Coturnix japonica: one gene and its partners. The protein of the gene in region 4 interacts with the protein of the main gene of each other region in a pairwise test. Links are inferred from orthologs where the notes say so. Each region holds a gene or a part of one and is shown on either strand. Other genes may lie near its edges. The genes, in order: THAP1, CEP70, SFMBT1 and ZCCHC10.

Region 1 (4,315 bases), on a different chromosome or scaffold from region 4:
CAACTAGGACTGACCATCACATTGTTTTGGGATCGCAGCAGAAGGGTTTGGTGATGTGATGAGCCAAAATAAACAGCTCTCCCAGCTCTGTTATGAATCCTTCCCTAAATACAGGATGTTGCTAAGATGACAGAAAGCTATTCACACTTCCACCATCGCTGCAATAAAGTTCTGTCCTGCATTAAAGTCAAAGCCATGCAGTGAGAGCTGTCATATGGAAGGAGTAAGAAAATAGGACTGGGTGGCTGGCAGATGGGATAGAGCAGAACACTAAGCGAGCTCATTCCCACATCATACTGCAGGCTTCACCATACTGCTCCAGATAGGTTCAGACACTTGCACGGTTCAGAACAATGCATACCTGTCATCACTTGGGAGGAGGTCAAAGAGAATTCTGATTATTCTGCCCCAGAGGAACATACTTTATTCAGAAATGCACACATAATGTATACTACCCGTTTAAAAAAAAAAAAACAAAAAAAAAACCAAAAAAAACCCAAAAGCCTAAGAATGTCTCAGTGAAAGAGACACTGAAACCGATTTTTTAATTCCCTGTCCCCAACATTATTACTACAAATAAAAGCATGAAGATGATCGCATCTTCAATTTTAACAGCCACCAACTGTCCCCTCTTGAGACTGGAAGATCACATTATTAAGCTTCTTGCCTTAACATAAAGAACAAGTCAACAGTCAGATTGGGAAGTACAGATGTCATCCTTGTACAAACTACATTAGGCACAGGAACTGAGAACACAGTTCCACTTCTGGTACTGAGGGGAAGTTTCACATTGCTCAGGTATTACTGATCACTTTAAAGTACAAAACCAGCCCACTGCCTGTGTCAGTTCTCAGTTATAAGAAGTGGATGCTCCAGGTGTGTCCATCTAAATCACATACCAATATTCTAAAATGTCTGACCTACAGCTTTCAAACTTTTCAGCTAAGATGACAAACCAAAGACATAATGTGCAGAGAGAATTCTGCCCATGTTAGAAGCACGAGCAAAAATGGCATTGTTGCCAGACAGCTGCATTCAGACAGAGGCATGTATTCAAGAGCTACGCAGCACATGCTGTGTTACTGCTGTCACTGTGTGTCACAGAGAGCTCATCGTTCATACTGCTCACACGTCACAAGTGAGTTCTTATTCCTTCTTACATCCAGTAAATGGTTGTCAGACATAGCTAAAAAAGTATTTCAAGAATTATGATGCAAAAAATGCTGTATCTCAAAATCAGTATGAATTTAAAAAAAATGCTGTCCTTATTCACTACTATTCAATGTCTTGAAGATACACTGAAAGCTGCTGTGACATAAATAGTAGCACCACCAACTCCTTTTCCATAAGGAGCCACTGTTCTGTGCACTCATAAAGCCAGGTACTGCAATGAATGAGAGAATGTGGCTCAGAACTACTGCATTGATGTCAATATTAAATACCTTCAGCTTTCACACTGCAATAAGTTTTGCAAACAATTTTAAGTGACATAGGAAATATGTTGCTAAGATTGTGGGGAACCGTCATCAAACAGATCTTAGCACAAAAAGCAGACCTGAAAATGGTCCACATTTCACTTTATACCTTGTGCTATGTATGGTCTCTTGCCTATTATTTCCACTTTTCATTTTCTAGATGTTCCTTCTTTATTTCTGCATTAAATCGAACATTGTATACTGTGTGGAAAAATACAGATGATGCCCTGAGCATGAGAAAGGGTTTATGTTAGCTCTGGAACACAAGTAAACTGCCTAAATATGTTCAATATTCAACAGACAGGCACTAGTTTTATATATTGTCAGTGGTGGCCAACACATACTCTGGAAGATCAAGAAAAGTGGCTAGCAGATGGTGCTCTGAATTATAACACAATTTTGCAGTTAATGCTATTTTGTAGGAGGCTGGACTTTTTGGGTTCTTTCACAGGGGCATCTGGATAGTCCTACCTGTAGCCATGACTTAATAGCTCTGGACCTGGCTAACTAGAACAAGACACCTGATGTGAAGCTATAACATTATGCTGATGATTTAATACTAGCCTCTGCAACTCTATCTGCAATAAAGAACACAGCAAGCACTGTCTTCTGATTTACAGGAGAAAGAATGGGCCATCAGTCCTGAAAAGTCCCAGGGCCTTGTATTATCTGTCATATTTTTGGGATGGTCTGATTGTGAACAATCAAAGCCCTACCCAGTGCAGTTAACACCCAGATACAAATGTCAGCCTGCAGTTGTTACAACAGGACAGCACCAGTAACACAACTGCAGTGATGACAAATGGCCTTAATGACAGGAGAAGCTGCACAGTGCATTTCGGCACCTGGGGCTGTGAGCAGTGTGCGCTTACCTTTTCACTGGGCTCAGTGTAACAGAATATAGTGGGCACAGCATTTTCTTTCAGCAGCTTGTTGTTGCACTCCCGCTTGAAGCAGTCGGGCGTGAAGTGCTCGGAGCAGATGCTGCTGTACTTGGTGGGTTTGAAGTTTTTCCTTTTCACCGCCGCCTCCCATTTCTTGCACAGGTCAGGCCTGGTCAAAGGAAACCTGACAACAACAGCTATTTTCAGCGTTTCTCAAACTCTTTATTCACGCCGGGCCCACCATCCCAGCCCCTCTCCCGCCGCCCAGCGCCCCCTTGCGTCGGGAGGTCGCACACCCGCGGCCCTGTCCCCGCCCTGGCGCCCTGCCCGCCCCGCCCCGCCCCGCCCCACCCCGTCCCGCCGCCCGCGCTCACTTGTGGAAGGAGATGGGCTTCTCTTTGTCGTATCGGTTCCGGCAGCGGTAGGCAGAACACGACTGCACCATCCCGCCGGCCCCGCGGCCGCCGCCGCCCAGCGGCGCGAGGAGGGGCTCCCAGGTGCCGTCCGCTCACCGTGGGGCCGCCATCGTGCCCCGTCCCCCCCCGCCGGTGACCCTCCGAGAGGGACGGCAACGGGACGCGGCCTCTCCCAACTCCAAGATGGCGGCACCAGCTTCAGAGCAACTCTCGCGGTGCTACGGCGCGCCGCCCTTGCCCATTGGTGGGTCCTCTCATGGGGGGCGGGGCCTCGGGAAGCAGATCGTCCAATCGGAGCGGCGCTCTGCCTTGCTCCCGCCCCTCGCTCCGGAACTACCTCAGGGGCAGCTGCGGCGCGGCGGCAGAGCGCCCCCAGGGCGGGATGGGGTGCGGGTGTGTGTGGGCTGCTGGGCCCTGCTGAGGTGTTAGGGTGAGCTAACAATACACCGACGCGATGGAGTACAAAAAGTTAACGCGGAGTGCGCTCCGCCGTACCATTCCCTGTATTACACCAGCGACTAACAGCAGCGGGCCGTTCCCCCGGAGCGCCCCATGTCCCGATCTCGCTGTCCCGTGCGGGGCGGGCAGCGGGCGCTGGTGTCGGGAGCAGGGGTGCGGGCAGCGCCCTATGGCGCACCCACAGCGGGAGCAAAGGGCAGGAGCCGCGCGAAGCAGCTCCAGGATGGGGTCCGGAACCCCTCAGAGACACAGGATGGAGAGAAGGGCAATAAGCCGGTCTATAAGCGAGCGCCGAATTCGGAGCGCGGCCCCTCGCGGAGCCCCGCGCAGCCCCTCTGAGCCGGGGGCCGGCGGCGGGGAGCTCGGGGGAGGCGGCGGCGTTGGGGCGGGCAGACGGCGGGACCGGGGCGGGGCGTGGGGCCGGTGGCGCCGGGAGGCGGCTCAGTCCCCGCTGAGAGCCGAGGGTTGCGGGCCCCCGCCGAACGCAGCCGCGCCGCGACACACAGCCGCCGCCGCCGCAGGGCGGGCACCGGGGAGCGCCGCGCCGCGCCGCGCCCCGGCCGGCCGGCAGCATGAGCGGCGGGCGGAGCGGGAGAGCCGCCGTGAAGATGGAGGCGCCGTTCTACCCCGAGGAAGGGCTGGAGCTGCTGCCCGACTTCGTGCCGCTGCCGGGTTTCGCCGCCACCGCCACCGCAGGACCCGGCGCCGAGGCGGCGGCGGGCCCGAAGCTACTGCTGGGAGCCGGGAAGAAGCGCGACCTGCCGCCCGCCGCCCCCTCGCCGCTGCCCGGGCCCTTCGCCCTGCGCCCGCCCGGCAGCGCCCGCGGCAGCGCGGCCGCCCTGCGCCTGCTGCCGCCCTCCGCCGCTCCCCCGCCGCCCCCGGGCTCGGCGCAGGGCTCGGCGGGGGCCGGCGCCGGGGCGGCGGCGAACCGCGGCGGACCGGAGGCCGCGCTGGGCTCGGCGGCGGAGCTGCCGTTGCTGAAGCTGCCGCCGGCCGCCGACCTGGAGCAGCTGCTCATCCAGGGCGGCGCGGGGCTGGGGCCCGGCAGCCCGGGACCGGCGGCGGCCGGGGGAGCCGGCGG
Region 2 (4,098 bases), on a different chromosome or scaffold from region 4:
TCTTTTTAGGAAACGGGTGAATTGTGCATAGCTAATGCAGTAGTGCTGCCTGTAAACCTCTACAAAAGGGAAAGCCGAAAAACAAACAAAGGATTATAGCTCATGTGTCTAAATACAATGCCCTCCTGGCTGTATGGCCTGACTGCGCAGCTGCTCAGACTGAGAGAAATTTCCAGGATTAATCCAAACTTCCAAGACTATTACAGTGTTTGGCTGTTTCTTATGTTTTAGTGACATCTAGAAAATAGAACATTTGCCATTCCAAGCTTTAAGAACAACAAGGAGAAAGAAAACTTTTAGCAGTAGGACCACAAGGCATTAGATGAGACTCACCGTAGCTCCTTTTTCATTTGATTAATTTGAGATTCATAATAATCGATTAGACAAAGAAACCTGAAAAAGGAAAAATGGTATTTTGAACTTAAGATATAGTTACCAATCTATTGGAACAGGATAGCTTACACAGCTACACTGTATTTTAAAAGTGACTGTTTCTCCCTTATATCAGTCGCAGTTTTCCAAAAAAAGAAATATAGAGACATTAAATGCCTATTAGATTACAAGTGGCAAAATGACTCAAGAGGAGACAAAAGCTAAATCCTCCTGACAGCCCTTACATCTCATGGCTATGTTCACCCAGCAAGCTTAACAAGCTGTCACAGTCTTAAGCTGTAGGGCTGCACGGACCATTGGAGGTGATATAACAGAACAGGTCACACACAGCCTAAGAACTTCCAGAGAAACTACAAGTGCTTTCTAAGGAAATGGCTGCAAGGAAATAAAGCCATAGAAAAACGTATAGGTGAGAAACAGCATTTCCTTTTGAACCACTCTGAGATTTTCTGTTTTGTATGTACAGGTGAGAAATGTCAGGGAACGAATCTCAGAGCTTCTTTTTTTGTTGTTTAATGAGGGCATAAGAAACAGAGAGAGGCACACAATCCCTCTAAAATTTCTCCTAGGTAAACATCCTAGGCAGACCTGGATGGACCAGGCCACACCAGCACAGTAAGGCAACAGCCACCTGAGGCCTAGAAGCTGTCAGCTGTCTCTGACTATAGCTGAAAAACAGAGTTACTGCAGGACATGTAGGCTTTCAGAACATGCACAAAGTGCCTGGAGTTTGCTTGCAGTCAGCAGTCACAAAAGCTGTTTTCCCGAGCTGTCTTTGTTGTTGTTGCTTTTTTGCTTTGTTATTTAAATTTACATTCTAAACGTTACAAGTCCCAGAACAAAATCACTGTAGCAGATGCAGTTTCCAGAATAAGCCATTCCGCCCTCTTTGCTGACACCTAGTGGATACAGAGGCCGAGAATTTTTACCTTCTGCCATGCATTCATTCAGCTTGCACTAACATCTCCAACTTGTTTTTTTTTTCCCATGTAAGTATCAAGAACCGTCACTTTAAAATCCATTTATTCATTTAATGTTACAAGTCATTCACCAATATAACAAAATTCCTTACTGCTGATCTAGAAGGGACTTGGGAGCTCTCTTGCAAAACCGGCAGAACATTTCGGTTTGAGTGGCAACACGCTGCTGCTCCTCCAGCCCAGCTTTGCACAGCTCCCTCTGCAAACGGGCAATAATCTCCTCCTGTTCTTGCAGCTTTTCCTGCTGCTGTTGGTATTTTGCCTGTGAAGAGATAACAGGAGCATTCTGAACTGAACTCACAGGCTGGAGATGGTGCTCCACCAACCCACACTTGGTGCTTGGTCCCAAGAAAGCTTAATCAAACAGCCAGTGGAAGAAGGGTTCATATATTTTTTCCAATTTATTACTAGAAAATTATTTGTAAAACATAAAATCAGCTACAAATAGCATATGAAGTTTGACATGAGACTTGTATTTATTTGGACCAATGTGAGCTTTCAAAAGAAGTCAAAAGTTTGAGTGCTGCAGACTGACTTACCTGTGAATCCATCTGTTCTTTATGAAGTTCTTTGACCTGATTCTGTTGCCGGCAAACTTTAGCTATTGTCTCATCTTCCAGCTGACGGATTTTTGCCTTAATGCTTTCCACCACGTTTTCCAATTCATTAGCCCTTTCCTCTTGTCGAGATGCCCGACCTCGTTCCTGTCGTACCTCATCTCTAGAAACACAAATCTTTGATTTAAATTAAACTCATTTCACTAAATGCACTGCAAGAAGCACAGGCCTGGCAAATATTATCCGATGGTGCCCAGTAACAGCCTGCAGCAGCAGGCACAGGAAATATGCCACTATGGGAAGCAAGAGCAGATGCAGTTCAGACAACAGCTCAAGGAGATCTGGGCCAATATTGCTGCATATAGCACAAAAGTCTCAAGAAAAAGGTCTCTGGCTTTGGATGTGACAGAAAACGGGCAGCAATAGTGCTTTTTGCTTTGCACTACCTGCAAATTCCCTTCACAGCACCTTACCTAAGATTACGATTAGTCTCCATAAGCCCGTACATCATCTTCTGTTGTCGGTCGGTGTCTTCCAATAACGTTTTTAATGCAAGTCTTATTCCCAGAGAGGCCTGACTGTCCAAAGCAATCACATCTGGAAGCACACATCATAAAACAACGCCTTAACCAAAAGCTTTTGGTACTTGAAGATGGCATCACCGTTACTGTATGGAACCGATGGCTTCAGCAGCACCTCATGACTTCATGTCTGCTGCCCAAGGACCTCCACCACCAGCACTCCTTACCTGGGGTGTTTATGGGCACCATTCCATGGCGTAACAGCAGCGTGTTGAGGGTCTCCCATTCCGTTTCCTCCTGCTGAAGCTGGGAAGAGGCAGAAACCTGAGGCATGCAAAAGGCACGCTGACGCTCCGGGTAGAAGGGGAAATGGATGCAGTGAGCCGAATTTGTGCTTTCTGAAGAGCCGGACACGCTCTGCTTTGCTTCGGCGCCCTTTTGTGTCACTACCGCGATACTTCCGTCATATTGAGCCGCCAAGGGAAAGGAAGAGCAGGCAAGGAAAGTAAGCGGCCGAACGGGCGATGAGGGCGGGCTCTGAGCCGTGGGGCGGTAACGGTCAGCGCGGGGAGGCGGGCAGCCGCCATCTTGAGGCGGAGGGGAGGAGGGACCCGCGCGGCCGGAGCGGGGCAGGCGGGTAGGAGGGGGGGGTGTGGGTGTGAGGGGTTGTGAGGATGGCAGTGAGTGATGGGGGAGGGAACGTCGCGGAGTAATGCAGAAATAAAGGCTGTGGCTGTAAACTCGCTGTAGGACGAGTTCAGGGGCCTGAGTGGATGTTGGAGGCGGTTTGAGTCCTGGTTGGTGGCTTTGGTGTTGGTGCTGAGCCTCATGGAATGCGGGTGTGTGGTTCCCTCACAGCTGAAGGGAGAGATGTGGTTACAGGACAGCCGTGCTCTTCATTCGTCATTCGTGCTCTTACACAAAACCAGTTTGTGTCCGGAAAATGATGTTTGTGTCACAGCAAACAAATCCGTTAGTCATAACTCCATCCATTCTCAGCATTCCTAGCTGCTATCCTGCTTTTCTTCTTTTCTTGCTGCTGGTTGGATTAAAAGCCCTTTGTTTACTATGGCATCCCGCGAGGAGGTTACCCTCAGTGAAGAAGAAGTAAGGTAAAACAGCAGAGCTGCAGCCCGTACGGCCTTTGGAAAGATATCCCCCACTGCCGTGGTCACTTATGGCTGTACCAAACATTAAACGTGTTCTAAATGGAAGGATATCTTTTCCAGTCTCCTTCCCTGTGTGTGTTTGTGTGTGCAGAGTTGCATTCCCAAATGATGTAGGTAATATTTCTGCTAGAATCAGTAGGTGATGAGCTTATCTGTTACAACTACTTCTCAAGTTCAGAAGGCTGAAGGGGTTACTCAGAGAGCAAATGAAATGCTGCATTTTAAAGCCTGCTTAAATTTACCCGCAAGGAACATCTGAATCCTAAGTACAGTTTTAAACTATACTGCCCCCTGAACTGGAAGCTCCGGAGTTTGGATGGGTATATATCTTTGTATGGTGTTTGTCAGAGCGAGCCTGCTTACCTGCCTGCTTTTGTGATGTTTTGTCATATTTGAATGATTTTAAAAGCAAGAACGTGCAAGTAATTGTGTAAACTTATGACAATTAATTGACTTTGTTGGTGTTTCCACAGGTCTC
Region 3 (4,230 bases), on a different chromosome or scaffold from region 4:
TCAACATTTCCCCTCCCGTCCCTCAAACCTATTTTTAAGAAGTTGAACAAATGCACCATTTAAGACGTAAACAGACTTCAGTTCTCAGTTCTGTTCTGTAAGTACAGGAGGAAAAGTGCTCCGAAAGCAGGGAGGGCTTTCAGGTCCGCACTCACTGCCTTGGTTTAAAAGGAGTTAATGAGTTCTGTCCAGCTGGGTAATCAGTGCCAGGTATGTGATGTTTCCAACTGAACCCGACTTCCCTTATTTCTGAGGGCATCAGCTGCACTCATGGCAATGCCCTGAAGAGCAACGAACAGAGTTAGTCCTGGAACAAGACAGCACGGCCTACGATGCTGCAGGACGTGCAGGCAGTGGCAGCTCCGTGTCCCACCCCTTACCCTGCACAGGTCACATCCCACAGGACTGTTCTGGGCTCACAGCAACCACCAGCACAGCTCAGCACCTCATGTGTGAACAGGGGCACATTTGGAACTAGAGACTGGGATGAAAAATGAAAACAAGCAGTACACGTGAGAGCGTGTCTGCCTGTTGTAATACGCTCCTGGAACCAAAACCAATTTAAAATCAAATAAACAATAGCTAAAGTCCATCTGCTTCTCTCATAGGGTTTATCAGTATAGAGAAAATCGGGCACTGGAAAAAAACGAGGGATTCAAGTCAGTCAAAGCGCATCATTAAATGAAAAGAACCATTACACGAACGCAACTTTGTTTCTGCACTATCAGCCCCCAACAGAACCGCCCTCACCAAACGCTTCCCAGCTCTCCCGGCTCAGCGCTGCTGTCACTGCGCGGTGCCCGCACAGCCCCCCGAGGGCGATGCCTGCAGCCCGGGCAGCAGCGCGCAGCGCACACGGCAAAGGCTGCGATCAGGGCTGTTATACCTCGGGGCAGCGTAACAAGGCACCCGACACAACGTGCCACCAAACGTGCTCCTCACACCATCTCCAACCACTCACAGCCTCGCCGGGTCAAGCCACCACACGCGTTCGTTCAGCGGCGCTAAATTACGAGCAAAGGGGGAAAAAGCTGCGAAGGAAGAACCGCCCGGATCGATGCGGTGCCGGCTGCTGCCCGCACACACAGCGCCCGGCACCCGGTGCCAGTGCACGGCCCAGAGATGGCAGCGCGCAGCACAGCCCTGCACGGCCAACCCAGCGCGGCTCAGAAGCGCAGCGGAGCCTCCCCTCGCTCGGGAGCCGGCAGCTCCGGGAAGCAGCAGGTCTCCTTCTCGCCGCCCTTCAATCACAGCACGGATTCGCAAAGCAAAAGTAAAAGAGGAAATGGCTGAGTGAGGGCAGGAAGCCCCTGAGCGCTCCTGCAGCCGATCGCACGGACGGACGGATGCCCGCTCGCTCCTTTATGTACAAACCGCACGGCAGCAATGACAGCCACGCAGAAAACGCGCAATTCACTGACAGTCGGTTCGTTCTCACGCCCGCACCGGTTTCCCCGGTGCCGGGACAGCGGCTCCAAACCCCCGGCCGCAGCCGTCGCGCGGGTCGGACCGGTACCGCCGCGAGGTGCCGTCCGAGCGCGTCCCGCACAGCGCAACTCGCGGCGGGTCCCGGGGCAGGTGCCGCATCCCCGGGCGGACGGAGCCGCTCTGCGCACTGAGCTCCGCGCACTGAGCCCCGCTACGGCGGCAACAAGTTTCCGCGGGCGGTTCCGCCGCTCCGTAACGCGCAGCGAAGCGGCACCGCCGGCCAACGCTCAGCAAACGGGGCGGGATCGCGCAGCACCGACACCGCCACCACCACCGACGCCGCCACCGACGCCGCCACCGACGCCGCCCGGCCGCGCTCCTGCCGCTGTTTCCCCCGCGCCCGGCGGAGCCGAGGTCCCAACTTCGGGAACTCGCCCGGCCGCTCCCCCCGCCCCGCCCCGCCCGGCCGCGCATCCCCGGGACCCGGCCCGGCCCGGCCGCGCGCAGCGGCTCCGCAGGACAAAGGCCGGAGCCGCGGGGAGCGGAACGGAGCGGAACGGAGCGGAACCGAGCGCAGCGCAGCGCCGGGCGCGCACACGACGCGGACGCGCAGGCCCCGCGGCGGCGCTGCGGAAAGCGGCCCCGGGAACGGCCGCGCAGCTCCGCTCCGCCCGACGGCGGCAGCAGGGCGGGACGTAGAGCCGGGGCACGGCCGGGCCGGGCGGGGGTGCGGAGCGGCGCGGAGCGGAGCGGCGTTTAAAGGTCCCCCAACAGCGCCATCTTGAACGGGAGAGGGGCGAGCGCGCAACGGGTTCGGATCTACCGCGAGCGCGGGGCGCGCAAAGTTCCCGCGGGGCGGGCAGCGCAACTCGGGGCCGGGCTCACAGCGGGACGGGGGTTAACAGTAGGATGGGGCTCACAGCCGTGGGTTAACGGGGCTCAGAGCTGTGGGTTACCGGGGCTCACACACAGCGGGACGGGGCTCAGCGGGAGCGCGCCGAGTTGCGCGCGGGCACTTGCGCGTCGTGCCGCCCCGCGCATCGCTGCGCGCAGTGCCCGGGCGCTGCTCCCCCCGCGCTGCCGCCGCGCCGCGCTGCCGCCTCCTCCTCCTCCTCCTCCTCCCTTTTCCTTTTCCTTCTCCTTCTCCTCCCTCCTCCTCCTCCCTCGCCGCCTTTTTTTCCCCGCATCCAAACTTCGGGAGCCCGGAAAAACCCCTCGTGCCCCGCGCTCCGCCGGCAAAACGCCCCCACCAGCTGCGGGCCGTCCCGCTCCGCCCGCCGCTGTGCGCCGCCACCCCCCGCTTCACCTGCGGGGAGTTTTTCCAGCCCTCCGCCGCTGCCCGGGCTCCTGCTCCCCGGCTCCGCTCGCCGCCTCATTCCAATATGGCACGGCCCGGCAGAGCGCATGCGCCCGCCGCTGCCTCTCCCCCCCCACCCCCCTCCCTCCCCCCTGCTCTCCCCTCCCCTCCCCGGCGGCTTTCGGCGCTCGGGTCCCTCCCGATCCGCCGCCGCCCCACGTTGCGCCCGCTGCCCCCTTCACCTGCTGCGGCCGCTGACGGGACGCCAACGGCGGGAGCACCCACGGCTGCAGGGCGGACCTTCCATGGGCGACAGAAGCTCCGCTCGCCCCCGGAGGAAGGGCTCCTTGGCGCAGCGATGGGCGCAGACTCCCGGCAGCATCCCGCAGCTCCCGCAGCATCCGCGCAGCACCCGCAGCATCCCGCACGCCCCCGCAGCATCCCGCAGCATCCCGCAGCTCCCGCAGCATCCCGCAGCACCCCGCAGCATCCCGCAGCATCCCGCAGCACCCCGCAGCTCCGCACACAGCTCCGCACACGGGCCGTCCGCTGGAGGGGGGTCTCGCCGTGCGGGACGGGGGTTCCGGGATCCCCGTCGCTGCGTCGCGTTAAGGAAATGGGACAGGAGTGGGTATTTATGAAGGAACCGGCTGTCCTGGGCCGCAGCAGAAGCGGCGTGGCCGGCAGGGCCGGGGAGGGGTCCCGCCCCTCTGCTCTGCGCTGCTGAGCCCCCGCCTGGAGTACGGCATCCTCGGTACAGGAGCGGTACCGACCTGTTGGGTCGCATCCACAGGAGGGTCACAAAAATGAGCCGAGGGATGGAGCAGCTCCCTGTGAGGACAGGCTGAGAGCCGGGCTGTGCAGCACGGTGAGATGAAGGCTGACTTAACTTGAATAATGACAGAAGGCTGAACCCTTTCTGTAAAGGAAACAAGTCACAGATGCAGTGACACAGGCCTCGAGCTGAGCCTGAAGACAGCCCGGCACTTCAGGGCTGGACTCCTGCTCCTTTTCTAAGTCCCTCTGCACGAAGCTGGAGATAAAAGCACATGAACTTTCACAGAGCCTAAAAGCTGCTCTGCAAAGGGGAAGGTAAAAGTATTTTCTCTCTCCAGCCCACCAGCAGAAGCTACCCCTGGAAGTTCTATGATAATGGTATAATGATGCCCCTATTAGGAGAAAGCAGCTTTACAGCACCCTACACCTTCCCTGTGGGATAGGGTGCCCTCATATTTCATTTGTTGGCCATTACAACACTTGCCACCTTCTGCCTTTCTTTTCATAGTTGAAGACTTTCCAGATGTAGGTTAAGGCTGTTCTAAGTGTGCTCACGTGTGCTTAAGGAAGCAGTGACTTTTTGCTGGAAGAATGTGAAGTTGTGTGAAGGATTTGCTTCGCTTTATCTCCAAAAAGGTGAAATGGTTGAAATGACCAGGTCAGGCTTCCTGGATAGATTTGGATTCTAATATTACAGTGGAATTACATTTCTCTTCAGCTCCTTGAGT
Region 4 (3,560 bases):
CAGCACTACAGATTACAGAAACAAACATACAACAAGGTCTTAATAGGGTGGCAAAGGTAATTCAGACTTGATCCCTTGTCCCCTCCCTCCTAATTAACTGCTGCTCCTCATCACAGTCCCCCTTCCATCCAAAGTGCTGCTACTGTAACTCAGCTCCTCAGTGCCACCCAAAATGAAAACCTTCATCCCCTGCACATGATCTCCATGAAAATGGGCATCACATCCCTCTTCCAGCAGTGCCCCATTCCCGCTGTGCCCTTACAGCAGAAGTCAGGGCTGCAAGCTTCCTAACAACCTGCTTCAGTCATCACAGCTTGCCAGAGCTGTCACAGGGCTGGGATTAGGGTCATCTCTAAGAATACAACTCTTAAATGCCTTTCCCCCCTCCCAGCACCACCACCTCTTCCACACTTTACTACTGTAGCACATTTTGACTGCCATTAAGCGTGAGCCTAGAAAACACCATTTAATAATTCATTAACTTTTTCCCATTAAATAGTACATTCACTAAGGAAGACTTCAAACAATTTTCTGGTCATTTTATTTACAGGTCTGCGGCGTTCTGTAAAACACAGTAATGATTACAGACTAAAACACACAACATATATATTTTCAAACATTTAAATAGAAGCACAGTTTATTCAAAAGTAATACTACACACTACATTCTCCATAAAAATATAAAAAATAGTTTAGTTATTATATTTTACCTAAACAAAGATATTTAAGAATTCTTCCACGTGTGATGTCCCCTCCCCCCAAAAAAAGGGAACTCCAACAATAAGAAACGCAGGAGACAACATCACAAATCAGAAGGTGAATGCTGACTGGTCAAGCCCACCAGAAGAACACCAAAGTTTCACTCTGTAACTGGCAGTAATTGTTCTGCAGTACACTTAGTATACTTGTACAAAGTACACTTCTTTGCATTGGTTTGCATCCCTCATTGCAGATTTTCAGATTCGTATGCACTCACACAGACAATGGACTGATCATACTGCAGACCATAACGCCAGTCACCACATGCCAACAACACAGACTGGTAGTCTTACATTACACAACTTCTGAGTTTTTTTTGCAAAAATATCAAAAGGGAAACTCCCTCCTTTGGGAATTCCATTTAAAGACGGCTCCTCACTGATAGGTCAGTGAAAACAGCCTTCCTCTCTCTGAAAAATAGTGCCATTTTTGTTTGCTACTACCATTTTTACTGACTATTCTATATTGAAAGCTAATAGTTCTGAAACACACCTATTCAAGCCCTTCTTTCAATAGGATACATGTGGTTTACAAAAAAAAGGCACAAAGATGAAACTCCTACGCAGCATCAGTCAATCCTTCCATCGTGCACTGCTCCTCTTTCTTACACGGCCATTGCTGCAAGAGACACCATCTTGGAAAAGTACTACAAATACAAGGACTGTGGAAACAGGCAAAGCCTCTGTACAGTACAAGTAGTATATTCATCATTAACAAATGAACGCTGTTGAAAGGTTTATGTTGCAATTAAGACTCAACCTGGAAGCATCAGGGAAAGCCACCAGAAAAAAAGCTCAGCGGCACATATTAGTTAGCAGTGAGATGGAAGGTCCTCTGTGTGCAACACCACGAGTTCCATTTCAACAGTGACAGTGCACTACAGGCAGCAGTGCTGCAGTTGCTTCTAATAGTTCAGAGGATTTTCTAAATGTAAGTGAAGTTGCCATAAACAGACTAGTAGTATACGATGCACGGCATGATCTGCAATAAAAAGATTTTGCTTTCCAGCATGTAAACATCCAGGTTACTGGGCCTTAGCTCATAGAAACAAATCTGATGATAGACATCTAAACTAAAAAAAGTAAGATCTCCCATAAAATGATAAACCTCAAAAATACTCTTTCAGTAAGTTTCACGTGCCATTTGCTATCTTTCATGTCCTATGAACTACACAGAACATTTAGAAAGTTTTAGCAGTAGAAATGTTGACCAGTTAAACCATTTGGCAACCATGTGCTCAAAACCTCTATAATTCACTCAATAACAGTTCTTTGCTGTAACACATTATTTCTTCTTCTTTTTCTTTGGTGGCTCATCATCAGAACTACTGTCTGTGCTGCTACTGCTACTGCTGGAGGAACTGGAATCTGATTCAAACTCCGAAGATGAGGAAGTACTACTCGAGGATGGAGAAGATGAGGATGTAGAGGAGCTCTCATCACTGTCACTATCAGAAGAGGAGGAGGTAGAAGAGTCATCGCTGTCAGATGAGGAATCACTAGCCGAACTGTCACTGCTGCTGCTGCTGGAACTTGTTATACTTTTAGATCTGAAAGAAAACAAATACACAGATGAGAACAGTCTGCTACAGACAGAGCGCTCTTTATACTCTGATGTAATCCAAAGATCAATTAATTGGTCTGAACATTTCTGGGCCTGACAACTTAGGAAACTTCCCTCCCCCCTTGTTCTCCTCCCAGCTCTCAGTTCTACCTCCTCATTCTGAAAGAACAAATTTTGGCTATTTGAGCAACAGCAGAATGACACTGTGCATGTGAAGTAAGTTGTCCCATACAACATCAAAATGAATGCAGGACTACAGGGGAAAAAGATAAGTGTGAAAGCTGGCAAAGCTCATAGGAACAACTAGCAACTTCATTGGCCTACCTCAACAGAAGAATAAAGTCACAGAAAAAGCATGAATGTGCTCTACTGCTAAAGCTTCAGGCAGAAATTAACGAAGCCTGGATGCCTAGAACTGTAACAAGTGAAATATGAGCAATGTAAATGTTGGTTGGAAATGTCATCAATGATTTCACAAACATTAGAATTGTGCTCAATGGAAACTGTTCTTAGATTACTCCTGACAAAAGGAGCCAAACTTTCTACAATTACACAGTGCTTATGTTTTCAGGGTAGGAGAGAAGGTGTGGAAACAGTCCAGAATAAAGACATTAGGAACACTGGAAAGTGGATTTGTGCATGCTCTGCAGCTTCATTTAGTTCTCCGTTTCTAGCCCTTACAGTAAGATAGCTGTTCTCAACATCAAGGTCTTTAGCATAATACTAATGAACCACTAAAGTTTTTGTAATACATCTGCCATCAGTTCTCTCTCTCCCTGTGTGCAGATATAATGGCTGGTTAAATACAGACTTTTTGCTGACGTAAAACTAGTCACAAGATGAATGAAAAAGGGACAATTTTAAACTGGCATTTGGTATTTTCCGGGCAAACTGTTTCTATCTAAACAGCTTCACTGCATTTCAGACCCATTTATATGGACAAGAATCTGACAAAGGATCCCCAGATAGAGACTTTAATCTTCGTCCTGTCCCAGTCATCCTTCACACCAAAGAATCCATAGAAGCAGTTCTTGGACCTTCAATATTCACACCGCACCCTGAAACCTACTCATGGAATTATCAGCTGTTAACACTTCATACTTCCACCTAGAGGAAAGCAATAGCTACATCTATGAGAGAAGCAGCAAGCAGATACTTGTTGGCAGATGATGCAATGTGTGGTTCTGCTGTCAGTTACAGAAGGAAGACGGTCATAGGATCAAGTAAAATTCACCTATT

The links.
Region 1: the proteins of ZCCHC10 (region 4) and THAP1 interact in binary tests that used the Homo sapiens proteins (3 or more experiments, as listed by UniProt). The two-hybrid records come from large-scale screens. The link is inferred for Coturnix japonica from reciprocal best matches to the Homo sapiens genes ZCCHC10 and THAP1.
Region 2: the proteins of ZCCHC10 (region 4) and CEP70 interact in binary tests that used the Homo sapiens proteins (3 or more experiments, as listed by UniProt). The two-hybrid records come from large-scale screens. The link is inferred for Coturnix japonica from reciprocal best matches to the Homo sapiens genes ZCCHC10 and CEP70.
Region 3: the proteins of ZCCHC10 (region 4) and SFMBT1 interact in binary tests that used the Homo sapiens proteins (3 or more experiments, as listed by UniProt). The two-hybrid records come from large-scale screens. The link is inferred for Coturnix japonica from reciprocal best matches to the Homo sapiens genes ZCCHC10 and SFMBT1.

What each region holds. Positions count from the first base shown.
Region 1 is NC_029547.1:47,539,712-47,544,026, forward strand, and holds the start of THAP1 (THAP domain-containing protein 1), read right to left. Parts: upstream 2,846-4,315; 5' UTR 2,805-2,845; coding exon 2,734-2,804; intron 2,544-2,733; coding exon 2,348-2,543; intron 1-2,347. Other genes in the region: transcription factor jun-D-like, read left to right, coding at 3,807-4,315. UniProt on the Homo sapiens protein: DNA-binding transcription regulator that regulates endothelial cell proliferation and G1/S cell-cycle progression.
Region 2 is NC_029522.1:18,786,326-18,790,423, forward strand, and holds the start of CEP70 (centrosomal protein of 70 kDa), read right to left. Parts: upstream 2,812-4,098; 5' UTR 2,785-2,811; coding exon 2,679-2,784; intron 2,528-2,678; coding exon 2,404-2,527; intron 2,094-2,403; coding exon 1,913-2,093; intron 1,636-1,912; coding exon 1,466-1,635; intron 394-1,465; coding exon 334-393; intron 1-333. Other genes in the region: FAIM (fas apoptotic inhibitory molecule 1), read left to right, coding at 3,520-3,563, 4,094-4,098.
Region 3 is NC_029527.1:488,587-492,816, forward strand, and holds the start of SFMBT1 (scm-like with four MBT domains protein 1), read right to left. Parts: upstream 2,853-4,230; 5' UTR 2,735-2,852; intron 1,648-2,734; exon of another isoform or gene 1-1,647. UniProt on the Homo sapiens protein: Histone-binding protein, which is part of various corepressor complexes. Mediates the recruitment of corepressor complexes to target genes, followed by chromatin compaction and repression of transcription.
Region 4 is NC_029528.1:1,103,203-1,106,762, reverse strand, and holds the end of ZCCHC10 (zinc finger CCHC domain-containing protein 10), read right to left. Parts: exon of another isoform or gene 2,308-3,560; coding exon 2,043-2,307; 3' UTR 519-2,042; downstream 1-518.